Linked DNA regions of Danio rerio. The protein of the gene in region 2 interacts with the protein of the main gene of each other region in a pairwise test. Links are inferred from orthologs where the notes say so. Each region holds a gene or a part of one and is shown on either strand. Other genes may lie near its edges.

Region 1 (6,320 bases), on a different chromosome or scaffold from region 2:
CCTGCATTCGCGTGGGTTTCCTCTGGGTGCTCTGGTTTCCCCCACAGTCCAAAGACATGGAGTACAGGTGAATTGGGTAGGCTGGGTGAGCTGTCCATAGTGTATGAGTGTAAATGAGTGTGTGTGGATGTTTTCCAGAGATGGGTTGTAGCTGGAAAACGAGCTGGATAAGTTAGCGGTTCATTCCACTGTGGTGACCCCAGATTAATAATACTATGCCGAAAATAAAATAAATGAATGTTAATTTGAATAGTTTAATAATTTACTTATGCATTCTGAACGATCTTAAAATAGCACTAACTATTCTTAATTAACTAATTTGTAAATAATGCTGTACTTAAGTAATGAAAAAATTATCTTTAACGATGCATGAAAATACAATCATTAAAAAGTGTGCTTATAAGTGAAGAAAACAGCATTGTTAGCTGTATTTACCAACTGCTTACTAACGTCTATTAATGTAGAGTTAATGCTTAACAAATAATGAATTAACTATTTGCTAATGCTCAATAAATGATTTATGGCATGTAGATATTATAAAGTGTTACCAGTTCATTAAATAAGTAAAAAAAAAAAATTAAATTAATAAAACCATTTTACAGACAATAGTTAAAAAACACAAAAACAGATCCAGCAGGTAAATTTATACCTGTAAGTCAATTATTATTAAAAGTGAATTGCTGCTATTATTATCATTAGCTATTATTCAAATACATTTAAAACTCCAAGGTAAAACTGCACAAAAGATATGGTAAGGAAAGACATGTTCTTGACATTTCAGGACTGAAGCACCAAAGCAAAATAACAAGAGGACTTAATCTTATCACAACAGGTAAAGAAGACCTTGCACGTTATTCTGGAAAAATCACATTTTCACTATTATTGAAAAATCACTATTATTTACACAAAACTATTAAATATTACTTTTATCTGCTTGTAAACAAAGCAGCACAATTTTACATCAAATGCAGCCTTAAGCCTTAAAGTGCAAAGAAATCTGACTAAAATCTGACTAAAAATAGACTTAAATCAATTAAAAGCCAATTAAACCATACTTCTTGCTTTCATTCCTTTTTTACAGCACTATATTGTCAATTATTTAGCAGGATAAAAAAATAGAAACAGAAGTACACTAACTTTCTGCGATTCAGGCGTGATAATTTACCCTACAGGGGTACAGTGTCTCACAAATGTCTTGTTGTTTATCCCAGTTGTAAGAGCAACAAAAATAACTTGAATTCTAGTTGATCATTTTGGTATCAGAAGTGGCTTATATGAGAGGCAAAGGCCTCTAGATTACGGTTATTTTACCAAAATAAAATATGATCATGCCTTGATTTTAAATTTAATTAGGACAGTAAGGTCTGACTCTGCTAAGACAAAAGTTTTGACACTTAACAGAAATAATGTACAGTATAGAATATAAAGTGATGGTGCAGTGCGCAATTAATATTGTGTATGACTCCCATGAGCATGGAGGACTGCATTCATACATCTCTGCAATGACTCAAATAACTTATTAATAGTCATCTGGAATGGCAAAAAATCGTTCTTGCAGGACTCCTAGAGTTCATCAAGATTTTTTTGGATTCATCTTCAGTGCCTCCTCCTTCATCTTACCCCATACATGCTCAATACTGTTAATGTCTGGTGACTGGGCTGGCCAATCCTGCAGCAGCTTGACCTTCTTTGGTTTCAGGAACATTGATGTAGAAGCTGAAGTATGAAAAGAAGCGCAATCCTGCTGAAGATCTGGTCTCACCTGTGGTTTGTAATGTAATGTAAAAATCAAACCATGATTTTTCCTTCACCAAACTTGACTGATTTCTATTCGAATCTTGGGTCCATGCGGAATCCAATAGGTCTTTTACAGTATTTGTGATGATTGGGATGCAGTTCAACTGATGATACATCAGATGAATCAAATGATCAACTAGAAGTCAAGTTATTATTTGTTGTTCCTACAACTGGGATCGACGACAAGACTTTTGTATACATCTTTAAAATTAAAAAAAAATTAACTGAAATTAACCACATTTCCTGAATATAGATACAAAATTGTTGTTTTTTTATTTAAGTCTACTTAGTTTCTCACTATAAAAAACTTTTTAAAAATTCAAAAATGTATGGTCTGCATATTTTTTCCTTATTCAATAAGAAATCATTTGAAATCAGAAGAATATACTTGTATAAAATAGCCTTTTAAATTGTGATGCTTCAGCACAGTTTAAGGTGTAAAATACAATCCCATTTTATTTCTTAGATTACAATAAGCACTCCAATGTACAGTAAAGTGTCTTTTACGACATACATTTAGTTACATTGAGACAACATTTTATGCATGTTTTAAATAAATTAAAATATTATCCACGACATAATCTGGGATATAAACATTTAAGGAAAGGTAAGCAATATAAAATAAACAATGATTTGCACTCACTAAAATAACAATCTTTCAGCATTTTATTTTATGGTAAACACCAAAAAGACAAAGCCAGATGAAAGAGATATGAAATGATTCAACCAGGTGTTGAAGAAGACTAAGAATGTGTTCACACTTGTAGTTTGGTTCTCTTAGTTGATTTGTTCCAAAAAAGAAAATTATGCATTTAATCCAGCTCACTATGCATTGACATTGTTCTTTTAGATACGATTGAACCTATTAATATCAAACCTTTAAGCTTAATTTCAAAGACTTTCTTATTTGTCCACCAAGCACGCTTGTGTTTAATAGATGGTTGCCAGGATATGCCATTCCCCCTTTTTGTAAGATAAACAGTTTTTTCTGCATTAAATCAAGTGATTGTGACTTCACAACCTGTTTCTGATTCATTTTCAGATCTTAAGTTGATGCTAAGTGGACATTTCAGTCAAACCGAACTAGTTTGTTTGGAAGCTAACCAGGACTCTCCTAGTGGCCCAAGTCTGTCTGTTTGGTGAAACTCTCGATTTTGTATTAAGCTTGTTTTAATCAAACCAAATGTGCCAGGTGTGCCCACACCCCAAGAGCAAGTGTGCTATGGTACTTTCTAGACGCAGCCTTTAAAATACATGAAATGTGGTTTTATAGTGATCAGTGCAACTCAAATGTGCTTTTTTTGTCACATTAATCTATATACTGTATATGTGTGTATGTGTGTTAAAGTTAAGAAAATTGCAGAAAGTTTGGTCAAAAGTGCTCAGTGTCTTTTTTTTCTCAATGTATTGAACATTGCCAATACTATGAAACTTTAAATGACCACAACAACTAAATAAAAGAAACAATACAAGCATAATAGTGTGAAATACTGCAAAAACATTGCAATTACTCCATGAAAGTTTTGCAAATGCGGGAACTTCTAACTTCTTCACATTTGCGATATTCAGTCAGAAATCTGTCTGGTCCATCATACATTTCTTAGTGTTATGAAATATACATGTAATAATATATTAGTGTTGAAAAAACATTCATGTGCAATAGTCAGACAAAGTGTAAGATATAAAACTGAATTCCACGTACCTGCCAGACACTTTCCATTCTGTTAATGTAGAAAGAACAGCAAAATCATAAGAAACCAAATCTGTTCATTTGCTGCTTCTACATGAGTCCACAGCATGGCTCTTTTGTATTGGTTGTTTCCTCTTCTGGTGCTTTGAGCTTCAGCAGAGGTGGATCTCCACTAGCCTGGGTAAAGTACACAGCATTAGGAGCTACAACCTGTTGTACTGATTCGGAGGGCTCCAGCGTCCCTGGAGGCCCCTCAGGGACAGGCTCATCCTGTGTGCCTGCAGACAAGGGTAAAGGTGGTGCTGGATGCTTATTCAGTTTAGCTGCAGCTCTCTGTCGTTTGAGATCTGCGAGTGTGTGGTGAGATCTCTCTCTGCTCATGCTGTCCCCGCCAGCAGAAGCTGAACCTGGAGAGAGCTGATAGGAGGCGCTGCGATCCATGAGCCCCCCGCTCTGGAGTTCTCCTGAAAATGAACCTGTGCTACCGTTCCCTATAACTTGGGCTCCATTTTCCACCTCGCCAACGTCTAATGGAGGAACAGCGATGGCATTAGAGCTGGACATCTAAATCAAAAGAGGGAAAAAATACAAGAAAATCCATCAAGAATAGTCAAGGCACAAATACATGACTAAGCTCTCAATAAACACAAGATCAGTTCACATAATCATCCCATTATTTGGGCGTAGATTTAGGGTGGATGGAGGTGATGTGTCCCCACCAATATCCACTGAGACATAGAAATGTCCCAACAAATAATTTAATCCACTTTAAAAAAAAATTGCGATGTCAACATTGACCTAGACACGCAGGTTAAATCACGTTTTTTCCTTAAGTCCTACCGCCCCCAAAACAAACATGGACATTTTGATTGGCTGTGCCTTTCCATGCTATTATGTGAGAGGCTGTGGCTGTGTTCAGATACAAGCAGCGACAAATGAAGTGGATTGTTTTGTTTTTTCCTGTGCCAGAATAAGGTGTGTTGGGTGACACACGAGTGAGGATGATGGCAAAAAAAAAAAAAAAAAAAAAGGTGAACATAAGGAGCATTTTTCAACGAAATTGTAAGTCACATAAACGCAAGTTCGCTACTGAATGAGCCCATCATGATAACGCCGTTAATGCTCGTGTTTTCCCTGGCTTTAATGCAGTCTGTTGTTGTAGCAGGCTGATATAGGCTAGTCTGCGATATTTAATTAAAAAAAAAAAAAAAAATATATATATATATATATATATATATATATATATATATATATATATATATATATATATATATACACACACACACACACACACAGAACAGTTCTGTCTGGTTCTCAAATCTGATTGGCTGATAGCCGTGCAATATTCTGCAATATCAGAACTCCTACAGCCTCTTTACCCTTTGTGTATTACTCCTCCCACATACAGCCAGCAAAAAGCAGACACTACAGATCTAAAGTTTAAATGATGCTTGCTCAACTGTTTAGCTGTCAGCTTATGATTTGAATCCGGAAGAAAGTAGTTCCTCATACAAAAGGGTTTTTGAGACTCTCCATGTTTGATTTTGTTTTTATATACACAATTATGTCGTCAAACTGTTGTATAAACACAATATCACACTCGTAGCAGCGAGATATGGCTGTATATCGGCACTGGTGGGGGCACTAAGGGGCACTAAAAAAAACTTTTTTGCAGTTATTTGTCTGACTTTCCATTTAATTATGCATAATATTGCATTTTAGTAACATTTTAAAAAACTAATGCTTGCTGGGTTATCGTGTTGGATGGTTATAATAACCACACTTTTTGATGTACCAAAAAATACTTTCAACCATTCTGTCAAATTGCCAAACTACCGTTTTAAGTGTTTATTTACAAGTGTGCATTTAAACTGTAAGTTTTATATTATAGTTATATAAATAATGAACATTTTGAATAAAAAATATGAAAAGATACTTATTTATTACTTTCCTCAGTCAGAATTTGCCTATTTTGATAATGATGGGAAAAATTTTAAAATAATAATAATAGTCTAACTTTTGGTCTTTCGAACCACCCAAACCCCCTTGGCTACAGGCCTAAAACTTACAAAAAAAACTGATTAACGAGTGGATTAGTAGTATATTTTAATAGCAGTTAAATAAATAATAGCGCATATATATATATATATATATATATATATATATATATATATATATATATATATATATATATATATATATATATATATATATATTTTTTTTTTTTTTTTTTTTTTTTAAAGTCTTCCATATCTAAGTCTATGTCCTTTAAAATCATAGAAATACTCACTTTAGAATGCGTTTTTGTTTATTTTTGTTCTGTGGTGTCATCGTATTCCTAAATTTCATTCATAAAGTGGCCTGGTTGGTCTTAAACCCTGGTCAGACCATATGATTTTTATTGTTAGTTACGAATGTCACAATGTCAGATTATGCGATTTTGTCTCGATAAAATCTTGACTTGTCATAACAAATGTGCCAGGCTACATGTTCCTTCACAGTCAGCCATGATGTCTATGATTTTCCAAAGCAGTCACAAGTGTTGCTATAACAATATTTCTCATCTCAATTTCAATTTCTTTTTCTTATTATTTTAATCTCAATAAACAATAATGCTGGCTGAAAACTAGGCTCCATTATTTAAATATTTATTTTTATTATTTCTAATGACATTGATCAAATCAAACATATATATCCTTTTATAATAAAAGCACATATATGACAGAGGTTTGTAATACAACAATTACAGTGAAGCATTAATTAAATCCTTATTTTCCACAGAGCATAACAAACTATAACCACAGGGTTGAGTAGACTGGCTCAAAAAAAATAA
Region 2 (7,828 bases):
GACTTACAAGACTACAAGACACAGAAACACCTTTTTTTAACTGTTTAATTGCTGCAGGTATGAAACGATTTCTGTATGGTTTAATTTTACAGCTGTAAAGCCATGTGAGATGCTGATATATTTTATACTTTTCATCCTAATAAGTTCATATTTCAATAAGTTCATAAGTTCAATTCATAAATAAATAAAAATAATAATTAAAAATAATAATTAAAAAATAAAACAAATTTGTAGAAGGACTTGGCACCGTGTCGAGCAGCATAACACTGTCCACGGTTATATAACGAGAGCAGACTGCCAAGGGGACAGCCGTATTAATACTAGTCAAGCAGATATAAGTACACTCCTCACGCCCTGCCTAGTTTCTAGGCTGTATAGCAATAAACATGCAGGTGGTGCAACTGGCTCCATCTAAACTCTGAGAAGGCGGAAAAACAGGGTGAGGTTTCTACGAAACACTGTTAACATTATAAAGCATCACGAGAGGAGGAGCTCACATAAAAATAGATATTAGGCTTAAAGAGCTGATATCAAATAATGGCATAATTAGTCATAAAAGTATGCAAAAAGGGAAATTAAGCAAGACTGAATCTGGTCATTTAAAAAAAATCTTCCAGCTGACACAAAGGTTTAGGTCACAACTCATGACATTAACAAACCGATAACTGGCATTATTAGTTTAATAAACTACTAATTTCTGTTTATTAATAGTTATAAGGTAAAAGAGTTTTTTTGGGGGGTTGGGTAGGATTAGGGATATAGAATAAAAACGTAATTTATAACTAATAATCAACAGTCAATATCTTAATAATAGGCAGGTTATAAGCCAGCAGTTTAGCCTGAATTGAGACAGTCAACACCAAGGTACACCACGGTTTGGAAAAGCCAAGGTTTTAAAATGGTGAAAATTTTCTGCAATACCATCCCTAAGGTATGTTTATGATTTTTATAAACGTTTTTGTGTGTGTGTGTGTGTGTATGTGTGTGTGTGTGTGTGTGTGTGTGTGCGTGCGTGCGTGCGTGCGTGTGTGTTTTTAAGACAACAGTATCTTCAGCAGAAGATGCCGTTTTAAATTGTAAAAAAAAAAAGTTTTTAAAACAAATAAAGACAGCAGAAGTCAATAATTCATTTAGCCTGACACATTTTCTGCTCCTAAATATTTTAAATGTTTCTCAAAGTAAAACCTACTGTGTTCAAAAGGGAAAAAAGTTTTAGGTTTTTTCCCAGACATTTAAAATATATATATTTTAGTACAGTAATCCCAATACCGCAAAACTGTGATACTTTTATACAAGGTTATTATACCGTCAGAATCTTATACCGGCCCATGCCTTTAGTCCAAACACATGCGCTATAGGGGAATTGAATAAATTAAATAGCAAGGGCATCCACTGCGTAAAACATATGCTGGATAGTGGATAAGTTGGTGGTTCATTCCGCTGTGGCGAACCCTGATAAATAAAGAGAGTAAGCCAAAGGAAAATGAATGAAATAATGAATGACTAGTGTGTATAAGTGTTACCATATATTGCTTTCCTTTTTCTTTGCTTTTCATCCTGACATTTTATAGCAAAAAAACTCTTTTTTTATGCAGTCAATGTATTCATTAGTTCTGGCCTTGATGTTGATGCATAAACAATAAATCATGGTTATTATTTCTGTAAACATTTCTGGGGATAATTAAAGGTGTGCATGTTCTGCTCACCATGCTTAAAAGCACATAATTGTGCTGTAAATGTTTGCTATTGGTCTTTAGTAAGGTGCATGTGTCTTATATTTCACCAAAGCAGAAACAATGTTACAAATGTAGATTTTAGGGAAAAATATGGCTTTTACATGTTTGCAGACATTTTTTTAATCGGAGTACTGATTTGGAAGATTAATAAAAAACAAAAGTAATAATTTGGGCTGTTGATTGTAGCCTTTAATTTTAAAGCAAAAAGAAAAAACTATTCAAACAAGCAATAAAAACATACAAACAAACAAGATACATCAGGCATTTTACATTAATATATAAGAAAAATTCAAAAACGTTTTTCGGTCAAATCTTTACTGAATAATTATTTAAAACTTCATTAAAAGTCTTCTACAAACATTAAAAGCAGGACAGTCTAATAAAATATTTAACAGAGGAATCTTAGAAAATATGCAAGGAGTAGGGTGTTCCTAATATACTGGTAATATATTTATTTTAAAATAAATAATTTTAAATTTAGAGCCATATTTGCCCATTTGTGATATCACTGACATTTTAAAAAATAAATTTGCTTAATTGTTTTTTATTCATTATTGCGATGTGAATTAATACAGAGATTTGATTATGAAAGTTTGTAATTTAGGCTTTGGTTGCAACCTTATGTTTGTAAATGTTGTGGCGCTTTGAGCTTAGAAAGGTGCATCATAATTAAACATTATGCATTATTATTACCCAAATATAATTTATAGCATCTCTCCATGACAATGTCAAAATTTTAGCGCAGCCATTATTTCACACTGCATAAAAATAAACCTAAGCAATAAAAAATCTTTAAATAAGCAGTTTTATGTATTTTGTGATTCATGTTTTTACTTTCCCCCATTTATTTACGCTTTTGAATTGGATTATTACTTTCCTCCAACAACTTTTAACCTTGTAAAGTTAAAAAAAGTGACTTATTTACTTTTTTAATAGCTTAAAGTGATATACTGTCTGGTTGGTGTTGTATATTACGCTACAAAAACATTGTAACAAACATTTTCTATTCTTTAACAGACTTATTTCTTTAGATATTATTTTTATACATGATATTATTATTTCAAATGACTAAAATGTGAATAAGTCACTTTGTGCACTTTTGATGTTAAAAATACAACAGAGGAGAGATCAACATAGCATAATGCAATTTGCCACCGCAAATAAACCCAAAACACACAAAATAGAGAAACTGTTCACTAATATATTTTTTACAGTGTAAGAGGACAAAGTAAAAGCACATGCATATCAGTATGTGTATGATGCTGAAATCACTACTGCAGAAAGTACAAGTAAAAATGGGTCAAAGCTGCTGCAGTGCTAAATCTGAAGTCAGACCCGCTTATGAAGGATACATACCTTAATAATACATTTAATGTTAGTCTAAATAATAATATCTGCCAATATGAACTGTGTTGCATATAAAAATTAAACAAGCGAGAAATGTTATGTAAATGCATTTCTTCACTGTATACAATAAAACTATAAAATCTTGCATAATCATTCTGCCTTTATTGCACCTGCTGCTTTTATAATGCATTCCAGAAAGCAATTATATTTTGCAAAGATACAATTCATTGTATAATAAAATATAAATCTATTTGTATAGTGCTTTTCACAATAATTCATTTCAAAGCAGCTTTACAAAAGGTGCACATTTCATTACAGTCAATTCAAAAAAAAGCTAAAATGTTGTAAACATAGTTGGGCTCATACACATTTTTACTACTAAAATTTCATGATTTTGCCAAGACTTTCATGTAAATGTTCATGACCTAATGTTTCATGCAATGTCTACATATGCGTGGTAAAAGAAAAGCAATGCATGTTCAAATTTATTAGAGCATAGCATAAAACATGCAACAATCCATTTACTTTCAATTTATATCCATGCAAAATTAATTTAGATAATGCTTACACCGCACTAATAATATGAGAGTATGTGATTGGCCAAGGACAGAAAATAAGAGAAAAGCCTATATTCAAGTATTTGTCATGACTTTTCTAAAACTGTGTAGGTTTTTCTGTTTTTCCAAAACTTTTCCAGGCCTGGAAAATGCCATGTAAAAATTCCATGACTTTTCCAGGTTTTCCATGACTGTATGAACACTGTATAACCTGCAGTTGTACAGGATGTGATGTCCTTCCCCCCCTAAAAAATATATTTACATGTAATAATAATACATGTTTAAAGTCATAATATAAGCAAATACAGTGTTCATATTCAATCAGAATTAAGAGTTTATCATGTTTTAAAGTTCTCATTTTCAACAGTTTCATATTGTTAGTCATTAAATAAGGTTTTAAGATGTCTAATTAAAGCAAGGATTTTTAATAAACATTTTATAGAGATGACACCCTCAAATTGTATAAATTTGGGTTGAACTCAAAAATATTGTTTTTCCTAGCGCTAGAAATCACACTTTTGACATTTCAAGCCCTGTTGTTAATTTTAATGACTGTGGTACACTAATAAACAGCTGTTTTGATGCTCAAATATGTATTCAATATCATAATATCAGCATTAGTCAGTGTACTAACGTAATGTGTTTACTGAAGCACCGAAACCGCGCGTACAGCTTGGCAGTGTCACAAACACCAGTGAACTGCCCACACAGAGTGTATTTTATAGTCAAAAGTACTGTCCATTCGAAACCAACCAATAATATATAATCTTCAAATATATCAGTATAGTGTCTATGTAGAAAACTCTGTATTTGACACACAGCCGTTTGTGTCAGTGAGCAGAGCTAATGCGCAGCTAACTCTCGCTAGCTCAGCTAACGTAACATCCATAAAAACGACAGAGTTGATAGATCAAGCATATACATATACACACACAACCCTTATGGCAATTATATAGTTACTTATGTTATTAAAAGTACATTTTAGCTGTCACTTGGCTTGAAACTCACCCTCGAGCAGGCGCTGAATGATGCTGTCTATGTTGAGTTTGTCGATGTCAGCCATGACTAGCCGATAAAAACACAAACACCACCGCTTAAAACACACCAGACACGACAGATAAAACGACTTCGATTAAAAACAAACTGGTTAATCACAAAACTCTAAAAGAAAAGATTAAAATGCTCGAGCGGGCCCGTTAGACGCGCGTGCTGCGGCGGTGGCGCACCGGCTCTGCGGAAGGACACGCAATTCGGCTCGGTTTCACCGCTGATGGAAACGGGAGGGCGGATGAACACAAAGGAAAGGAAGAAAAGTAGTGCGGAGGAAAGAGGAGGGCGTGCCGCTGACTTTCACAATAACGTGTGACGTTGAATGTTAATTGCAATGAAAAACTTTTAAAAACACATGTTTAAAACATATCCTACACATTAACATAATTATTTATTTTAACCAACAACGTCTTTTGGCATGCTGTTATTACAGTAGACCTAATACAAATATTATTTCATTTGAAAAAATTGCATTATGCATTTAATTTATGCTGATTCGGGTATACACATGTACTAGTATTACATTATTTGACAGTTCTGTTTATGTTAATTAACCAGATGCCTTGTCAACTGTTATTTATTATAATAACCTAATAAAAAATTATTAATTTTGGCATAAAATCTAGTTTTACAGTATTTGACATGACCTTTTATATTAACTAACCACATTTTTTTGTCAATTGTCATTCATTATAGTAAAAAAAATATTATTTAATTTGTAGTATTTTTGCATTAGAAATTAATTAATGCTGATTTTGGCATTAAAAAAAAACTAGTTTTATAGTATTTGACATTACTTTTCATGTTAACTAACCTCATCCTTTGTCAACTGTCAATACCATTACATATTTTGTCATTTGTGGTAAGGTATTTACTCAGTATGCATTTAATTCATGCTAATTTAGGTATTAAAAATACTACAGCATTGCAATGCAGGCCCGTAGCCAGCCTATTAAAAGGGTTCTCAAAAAGTGGAACTTTTTGCAGCTATTCGGCTCATTTTTATCAAATACATTGACATTTTAAGCACAAATTTTTGGATTAGCTTGTCGGATGGTTATCATTACAATACTTTTTGACGCAACAAATATTTTCCTATATTTTTGTCAAAGTGCTTACCATACTATTAACAAAAAATTGTGTTTATTTACAACTGTGCATTTAAAATTTACACTATTACTTTTTACAAATAATGTAATGAGATTAGAATTTAAATTAAACATTTTGAACTAAGAAATTCGAAAAAATACTTATTTTTTCAAATGCTAATTTATTATTATCCATCATAAAATAAGGAATCTGTTCAAAGTTGTTTTAAATTAAAAAACTTAAGCCTATATTTAGAGAAATTATCAACCTACGTCACAGGGGTTCCTGGTGTCAATAGTAATAGTTGTGCGGTAGGGTGCCAAATCCAACTTTTCAAATGCAGCTTAACATTTACCGTACACCACACTGCTTTAATGCCAACTGCAGACATATTTAGCTATAAGGGAGCTGAATGGAGTGAGGACCTAATTAGAAATGCTGGACTCTGCAGTTCTCATGTTATATCAGGTGAGTTCACGCTATGCTGAATCAGACACGTTACTGGTTTTTGATTGCAGCAAAAACAGTTCAATATGGTTAATTAAACTGCGGACACTGAATGCCTAGAATGAAATGTGTGTTCACATAACCTGCTGTACAGGTGTAGTTTGCTGTGAGAATGCAGTAGTTCTGCTTGTTGATGATTATCCAGGCCTTGTACAGCTCCGTCTTCTTTCCTTGTCTTTGGCTGGGCAGAACCTCAGTTTTCAGCTCTACAGTGTTGAATCTGGTTATCATGGAGTATTATTTCTTGCTCAGAGCAAAACTGTTGGCATCCAAAGATTTGTATGTCTTTAACTTCTCTCTTGTAAAACACTTGGAGTTTTAGTGAGATAGTTGTATATTTTGGGCTGGATGCTTGGCCATCTCGTCTTATCCAATATCCATTAGGAGGGTGCTATCACAGATGAACGCTGCTCACTTTAACCTTAATTTTGCTGAACAACTGTGCTTATCACTGGGTGACGAGCTGTTGTAATACGCTGAAAGCATTATGTCAATAATATGTATAATATGTCATCAATATATCTTATCTCTAACACAACAGCAAACTCTGTTCCGCATCAGATGTTCACCATCTCATCTTTTAGGGGGAAATTAGTTCTTGTTCCAGCATCCTGATCACCTCAGATTAATTGCATAATGTACCTCTGAATAAACCACATTAAAAACACTGACACATCTCTGACAAAACAACATTGTGTATAAATTCATTTTTGCAAAACTCACATTTTAAAAAGCTATTACCATATGTTAATTATATGATAAACAGCATGTGCTTTTCTCAACGAAAAGGAGATATTTTTCATTCCTGCCTCAATGAAACAGAACTGTAGCGTCCTCTGGTGTTTGTTTCCTGTAATGTGCACTTACTTTTCATAGCATCTGAACAGATTGTGGTTAGAAACCCAACACATAGCCTAATACAAACACAACAGAACCTAAATGAATAATAATAATAATAATAATAATAATAATAATAATAATAATAATAATAATAATAATAATAATAATAATAATAGCCTAATAATAATAATAATAATAATAGCCTAATAATAATAATAATAATAATAATAATAATAATAATAATAGCCTAATAATAATAATAATAGCCTAATAATTATAATAATGATAATAATAATAATAATAATAATAGCCGAATAATAATAATAATAATAATAATAGCCTAATAATAATAATAATAATAATAATAATAATAATAGCCTAATAATAATAATAATAATAATAATAGCCTAATAATAATAATAATAGCCTAATAATAATAATAATAATAATAATAATAATAATAATAATAATAATTTTTGACACAGCACCACATAATCTGCATATTTATAACTAATATGTATCAACATCCAGATCTGTCTGACTAACCCCATCTCTGTTTTATGTTTATAGTCTTTCTTTTTTCTATATTTATTTTGTGTTGTCACTCGTCACTTTATGTACACTGGAAGCTTCTATAGCCAAAACAAATTCCTTGTGTGTGAAGCACACTTGGCAATAAAACCAATTCTGATTCTGATTCTG

The links. The genes of interacting proteins can lie anywhere in the genome.
Region 1: the proteins of ppp1cc (region 2) and ppp1r16a interact in binary tests that used the Homo sapiens proteins (3 or more experiments, as listed by UniProt). The link is inferred for Danio rerio from reciprocal best matches to the Homo sapiens genes PPP1CC and PPP1R16A.

The regions. Positions count from the first base shown.
Region 1 is NC_133187.1:14,358,955-14,365,274, reverse strand, and holds the end of ppp1r16a (protein phosphatase 1 regulatory subunit 16A), read right to left. Parts: intron 4,052-6,320; coding exon 3,578-4,051; 3' UTR 1,938-3,577; downstream 1-1,937. UniProt on the Homo sapiens protein: Inhibits protein phosphatase 1 activity toward phosphorylase, myosin light chain and myosin substrates.
Region 2 is NC_133180.1:2,462,845-2,470,672, reverse strand, and holds the start of ppp1cc (serine/threonine-protein phosphatase PP1-gamma catalytic subunit A), read right to left. Parts: upstream 4,886-7,828; 5' UTR 4,704-4,885; coding exon 4,649-4,703; intron 1-4,648. UniProt on the Homo sapiens protein: Protein phosphatase that associates with over 200 regulatory proteins to form highly specific holoenzymes which dephosphorylate hundreds of biological targets.